2 linked regions of the Zea mays genome follow. Each later gene encodes a partner of the first gene's protein in a complex. Links are inferred from orthologs where the notes say so. Each region holds a gene or a part of one and is shown on either strand. Other genes may lie near its edges.

The links.
Region 2: DNA-directed RNA polymerase II 19 kDa polypeptide (region 1) and DNA-directed RNA polymerase II 16 kDa polypeptide share a complex: the UniProt entries of both Arabidopsis thaliana proteins name them as parts of the RNA polymerase II complex. The link is inferred for Zea mays from reciprocal best matches to the Arabidopsis thaliana genes NRPB7 and NRPB4.

The regions. Positions count from the first base shown.
Region 1 is NC_050101.1:156,254,566-156,258,563, forward strand, and holds DNA-directed RNA polymerase II 19 kDa polypeptide, read right to left. Parts: upstream 2,801-3,998; 5' UTR 2,697-2,800; coding exon 2,581-2,696; intron 2,485-2,580; coding exon 2,319-2,484; intron 2,150-2,318; coding exon 2,099-2,149; intron 1,835-2,098; coding exon 1,769-1,834; intron 1,306-1,768; coding exon 1,237-1,305; intron 657-1,236; coding exon 591-656; 3' UTR 216-590; downstream 1-215. UniProt on the Arabidopsis thaliana protein: DNA-dependent RNA polymerase catalyzes the transcription of DNA into RNA using the four ribonucleoside triphosphates as substrates. Component of RNA polymerase II which synthesizes mRNA precursors and many functional non-coding RNAs.
Region 2 is NC_050099.1:248,642,058-248,645,015, reverse strand, and holds DNA-directed RNA polymerase II 16 kDa polypeptide, read right to left. Parts: upstream 1,663-2,958; 5' UTR 1,443-1,662; coding exon 1,394-1,442; intron 1,251-1,393; coding exon 865-1,250; 3' UTR 501-864; downstream 1-500. UniProt on the Arabidopsis thaliana protein: DNA-dependent RNA polymerase catalyzes the transcription of DNA into RNA using the four ribonucleoside triphosphates as substrates. Second largest component of RNA polymerase II which synthesizes mRNA precursors and many functional non-coding RNAs.

The DNA.
Region 1 (3,998 bases):
AGCCAAACAGTAAAAGTGACTAAACTATTAGTTTCTAATCCCTCGAAGGGTAACTAAAAGGGACTAAATCATATTAATTCCACCTTTTAGCCATCATTTATTTCAGTTACACTAACGACAAAAGAATGTTAAAGCATATTTTAGTCTTCTTACAAGTCATTTAATACGAATATTTTTAGTCCATGCAACCAAACAAGGTAGGGACTAAACTTTAGCCTCTATAGGCCTTGTTTGGCACAGCTTATTTTCAACTTCTTCACAAATTTAAGCAAAAGTTTTACCAAACAGTTAGCTTCTGCAGCAGCTTATCAGTTCAGCTGCTTCTCAAAATACACTAAAAGCAGTCAACAAGCAGAAGCTATTTTTCACCAGCTTATCAGATAAGCTGTTTTTTCAATAAGCAGCAGTTGTGCCAATCAGGGCCATACTAAAGAACCAAACAGGCCCTAAACAAGGTCCTAGTCACATCATTCTCAACAAGTTCCGCAGTCAGTACAGCCATTGCAGTTTTAACGGACCAGCGATTACACACGTCTGCGATAGTACTCAGAAGTCAGAACAATGGAGTACAATCTCGCTTCTTAGACCATTTACACTGCCGCACCAGGATCGCTGATAACACCCAGAAAATCATCCTTTATTGTGCCAATGCAAAACTGCAAGAGCAGAGATTAGACCGTTAGAACATTGAACAAGTACAGCATTGAACTTATAACAAGGCACTAAGTATGAATTCAAATGCACAATGAAGTTTTGTAATGAAAATATCCCTTCAGCTATCTAATATGCTTTTCGCGAGGGATAAACAATAAGTTCTTGGCACAAGAAGATGTAAGGCATATAAAAATCTTCTAGGCTAGTGCTAAACGAGGGTACGAGACTAGAGTATCCAAGGCCTAGTTAGTTCCAAACCAAGATACAGGACGGAACATCACTTTTTTATGTGGTAAAAGAACAGCACAATCCTGCGTTCATAGCTGATTAATATGGCATTAATCAAGGTTACTAGGCATAAGTCCTTTGCTCATACAATCTTAGAAAAGAATATGAGAAAAGTGACTGCAAAATGTTCTGCATTCACATAATGTCGTCGGAAAAAATGCAACCATTCAGTGGCACCATAGAACTTGTGATGTGGTTGCCATGTTCAGGCCTATACTCAAAATTTGAAAGAAAAAAAAAGGAGCATTCAAAGTTGGATTTTACTGTAAACAATGTAAACAGTAATAAGCTTACAATTTCTGTAGCATCGACACGAGTACCAATAATCTTCAGCCGCACCTCACTCTCTTTTTGAATTTTCACCTGAGTAAACAAACAAGCAACTACCCATGAGCACAGCAAAATGACTGCATCAAGGATTCTTTGAAAGGAACAATTGTGACTCACCATGATACCCAATACCCAAACGTACTCTCTTTTTAAAAATATATTCAAATGCAGCCACATATTGAATCATTGATGCAACTTGCAGATTTAGCATATAGATATATTTTTTACAAAAACTTTTCAAAATATCACCAAAATCCTCAAGAGTTACAGTTAGCAAAGCATATGAGAAAGCAATAATCCAATGAATCATAAATATAGTTTGTGCTTACTGCAAACTCGATGAGATTAAAAAGTTATATACCCTGTGTTTTTAAATATATGATGTTTTAAGGTCATTTTTAACTAATTAACTTGTCCTAAATGTCATATTCTTCTGCAGAAGTTACAGATAATGAGAAAACTCAACACTACTTAAATATATAGAAAAGTGACATACCGATCCATCAGAAGTTGTGTAGTTCGGCACATCTCCTGATTGGAACTCCATATCGTCTGGAATCAACTGCATTGCAATTGATAGCTCAGAGGAAAAACATTACTCATCAAAACAGTACTGACTGACATTAATTAATTGAAGTTTAAACAAGATGTCTATGCTAGTATCCTGTGACAAAAGGCAGCCATGTATATTTATGGAAGTGATAAAGGACTAAAGGAGCGAGTAAGCAGAGCATAATTCCTAGAATGGCCAGAAAGAATTCTGAAATTTCTTTAGCATTCAACACTTTGACTATGAAGCAGCTCCAAACAAGGCAGAATCACTCACATGGTTGGACACGAAGATCTGCACCGGCCCAGCCTCCGCAAAGAAGCCCATCTGCAGAGTGCCAGAGTCAATAACACACAAAGTTTAAATACCAAACCAATCCTGGCAATCACATTCTCCAACACCAAGATCATCACCACCCAGCCAACCAGCACTCCAATTCACATCCAATTCGAACGAAGCAAGCACAGCCCGAGCGGGGAGGCAACTAGGCACCCACCTTGTTCACCATGGTGACGACAGCTTCGAGGATCTCGCCCTTGAAGGGTCTAAAGACAACGCACTGGTACTTGACGGGGAAGGTGACGTATCCCGTGCCTTCCCGGATGAGCCCCTTGCCGATGTCCTCCACACCCGTGATCGCCACAACGAACCCGTGCCGCCCGCTGAAAGGAAAGAGCGAGAGAAACCCGCAAGCCATCTCAGCGCCGCCCTCCACCTCGTAGCCTTAGCCAGGTTTAGGAAGGGATGGGAAACCCTACCTGCAGGTGCCCTCGACGTCCTTGATGAGCTTGGAAACGAGCTTGTCGCGGAGGTGCGGCCCGAAGTGTCGTGGGTGCAGCTGCATGTTCCGCTCCAGCACGATGTGGAAGAACATCTTGCTCCGATCCCCTCGGCGGCGCCCGGCGGCCTGCGGCGAGTGGAGTGGTGAAGCGACCGAGTCTGTTCTGATTGGGCGTGATTAGTTGGGTGGACTCGGATAGGTGTACATTCGTGCTCGGGGCGGCCGGTTCAAGCGTTTCGGCTTCTGGAAGCTTCTAGCCACCAAAAGCTGCTGCGGACTGCCAAACGCTCAGTTTTTCATCCAGCTTCTATAAAATTTGTTGGGGGCAAAAACCATCCAAATCAACATAAACACATAATCGGTTGAGTCGTTGTAATAGTAGGAATCCGTCACTTTCTAGATTCTGAACCCTATGAACAATTTTATCTTCCTCCACACGTAATCGTAATAATACTCATATTCTCCCCACAGCCAGATTCTCCCCACAACCAGATTTTCAGAAAAGTTGGTCAGAAAAAAGCTGAACCAAACAGGCCTAGTCCGATTGAATTTTGGGTTGGCAAGGTCGTTATTTCGGGCGTGTCGGATCTGCGATTGAATCAGAGTAGGGGCTATAAGTTAAAGTATGTTTGATGGAGTCACCAGCGGTTATCTTGGAACATTCTCGCAGGCCTGATGTACTAGCGTGTTACAACAGATCTGTTATGGTGCTGCTTGCAGTAGGGGCGAAGCCAGGATCCAAAATTAGGGAGACCAGATTAGAATAAGGGGTTGTTAGAAGCATTTTTTGCACTATTTACATGAGAATTAGCTAAAAACTAACATGTCCTATAGAATTAGGGGGGACATTGCTCCCGTGTCCCCCCTACCGTCGCCCTTGGCTTGCAGCCTGCCCCTTGCGTTGGGTACATGCGCGCTGCTAACTGTTAGATGTGCATTGGCCGTACGCGCTAGCTCATGACTACGTCCTATGTGATAGCGTGGATTTACACTGCTGAAGCATGGACGGGGTCCAGCGTGGATGCGCGCGCTACCACCTAGCGTGCTGGTGTCACAGATGGAGGCCAAATACATGTGCTGAATGACACGATCAGAAAGAAGATTGTGGCATATCTTAGTTACCCTTTATAGGTTGTATTTATATTATAATATACTCTTACGTTTCAAAATAGTTGCCTTTTAGCTCTTAATTTTTATGTCTATATTTAAATAGATGATCATGAATCTAGACACATATATAAAACACATGTTTTAATCAAAAATTATATAAACCTGCTATTTTCCTAAAATGATAACTACTATTTTAAAATAGATGAAGTATATATTATTAAGACACGTCATAAAATAGATATTATGGGGGGCGACCGGAGCTACAGCCCCCCTCCTAGATCCGCC
Region 2 (2,958 bases), on another chromosome or scaffold:
TTGTGACTGAATTTGATTTGTGCTCTACTTGATGCTTATACTAACAGTCCGCACTGTGATAGAGCTAGATATAGCAATGGTAATTAAGTTTACATGTTAATTAACTTGATTAACCAACAAGGTTCCACTAATCCATAGAACACCAACCTGAGTACCGGCAAGAAAAAGATGTGTCGGCGAGTCTTCAGTTCTGGGCCTGCGGTTTCTATTTGGGAAGGAGTGTACTACAGCATGAAGGAGCAGGAACTGAAGAACATATACTGGATGTTCGTTCATTTCTGCCTTGAAAGAGTCCTACAGCACGAAGGAACCGAAGAGAGCAGAACATAATCCAAGCACTGACCTAGGGGAAGGGTGCTTTGCATCGAAGGCCTACAAAGTTAAAATTCACGCAATGGAAGCGTGTCTGTGTAGACAGACTAGAAACAGTTTGAGATATAGCTGAACCACACATGTGTTCGTAGTCGTAGGTTAAGCGTGTCTGTGCTCGAGCGATTAGGTTCCATTAATTCATGTATACATGACTAGATGGAAAGCGGATGAAGATAATATGAACCTTAACAATAGCAAGGAAATCAGTACATTTCGAGCTGAAGAACAGAGGGCATGGCCAACTCGGATCCTCATCCTCTGCAGGCTTCTCGTGTAGAATTCCAGACAGATCATCAACCACACACATACTACTAGTATATTGGATTATCGATCAAACAAGGTTCTAATCAATACGCAGACGTGAACCTCAACGATAGTAGTGTAAGGCAAGTAAAATTTTATCAGTACATCGTCTTGATGTTGAATTCCCCTCCTCTCTGGATGCTCGCTACTCCAAGAGAAAAGAAGATAAGAGAAGAGAGGGCTCCCGCTCTACTCGAACTTCTTGATGAGGGAGAGGTCGTTGAGCATCTTCTCGATCTTCTCGTCCCCGGGGTCGCCGACGAACCTGCCGCCGGACTTGAGGGAGGGGACGAGCGCGGTGGCCTCGCCGCTGGTGTCGGGGCAGAGGTTGCCGAGCGTGCAGAGCTCGAACTCGGCGAGGCCGTAGCGGCTCAGCGTCTCGCGGACCTGGCGCACGGCGTCGGGGTTCTTGTAGCGGCTGAAGCGCTTCACGTACTGCAGCGACTTCTCGAACACCTGCGACACCTGCGACGACGGGTCCGACTCCGACGACGCGTGCTGCTGGATCTGCTCGTACTTGTGCTCCAGGATGATCGCCACCTCGCAGTTCATCAGGCACTTGGCCTTGAGGAACTCTGCGCCCACAGGCTTACGGGTGAGCTGAGTGAGATCGAGAGGGAGGACGAAAACCCTAGCCCGCCCGCGCGCCCAAGGACTGGACGGTGGTTGAGAAGGGAGGGGAGGAGAGGAGAGGAGGGCGGCGCGGAAGAGCATGGACCTTCGCCGATCTTGAGCTCCGCGGCGTTCTCCTCCTCCTCGCCAGACATCGCTGGTGGCTGGTGGTGCTTCCGACCGGGGCGAAGTCGCTCGCTGGAGTCGGCCGACGGGGAATGGGGCTGGGAATTGCGAATTGCGATTGGAGTCGCGACGGGAGCGGGGAAGCCAAGGATGACGGCGGGAGGGCTATGCCTATGTGCTGGGCCGTATCGCCATGGGCTCTGGTCCAAACTTACAGATTGGGCTATGCTCGGCGTGGACTGAGCTGGGCCTCGGAATAGGAGTTTTTTTTTTTTTTTTTTGCTTCCTACCTATCATATCGTACGTATCACCAGATGGTGAGATATTGTGCATCATCCATTGAGCAGTCTACTTCCCTAATTCCTGTAAGCTGCCAGTGTCGAGTCTCTATAACTCGGTTCCTTGCATCTTTTTGGTGCCGATAAGATTAGCTGTTCGCTGGGGCTTTAAGCCATAGCCATCTGTTCGAACTGTTCTAATTATAATTCATAAAGATAAAATATACCAATTAAAGTCAAGCCAACAAGCTTGTCTTTTCTAGGATATATGGCGAACCTCTATAAAAGAATGTTTTCGGTAGACAGCTCTATATCAGATTAATTATTTCCAAATGTTTTTTTGTCATAAATCAGTTCCATTTTCTGCCATCGAATTGTATTTTTACACAAACACCTGTGCGAATCTGAATTAGGTAGCATCTCATCGTGCTTGTTATTTTGCTGTTGGACAGGTCTTATGTATAGGACCATGGCAGAGATTTCTGCCTTGTCTTTGTTTTTAGGGATATAATGATAGCAAACCACTTAGTCTGTAATGTAAGCCGAAATTATACTGAGATTGACTTAGAACACTTGCTACATTTCAGTCCTAGTTCATACATTATGTTATTTTAACCGAACCCCCGCAATCGCAGGATCATAGAAGCATGTCACGAAAATATAATATGTTCAACGAAGAATCAAGGATTGAGGATGCAAGTACAAAAATATCAGAACTACAACGTTCAAAAATTTATGAGTATGGATCAACAACAAAAAAAATTGAGGCTGCAATATGCAAACATTCAACACCTCATTCTACATCCGAATCTCTTCCTCTGCTGCCTGCCTTAACAGATCCAGCTATCAGCATAAGGACACTTCATTTTGCATCTCTGTGTACAGGATATGAATATGACTCCACGATCCAAGGCCAGAAGATGCAACTGAACATGATCCAAGTCATAAAACCAATGAACTGCCAAGCCTGATCTTCTGATGTGAACTACAACTCAACTCTCAATCTGGTCGATACAACAACAACAACAACAACAACAAAAACTTCCACAGAAAGGCGAACACACAACTAACCAGAAATCAGCCTGAGGCTTCAGATTGGCTCCCCACCATGGCACACACTAGCATCTAGCGTGATGAAAGGAGAAGCACCACACCGTCCTCCACAATACTGCCATCTACCTTTTTCTTTTCTTCTCCCAAAATTCCCCCCAGCCAACCAATGTTGGTAAACACTCTCAAACAGGCGAGCGACGATTAGAGAAGCCGA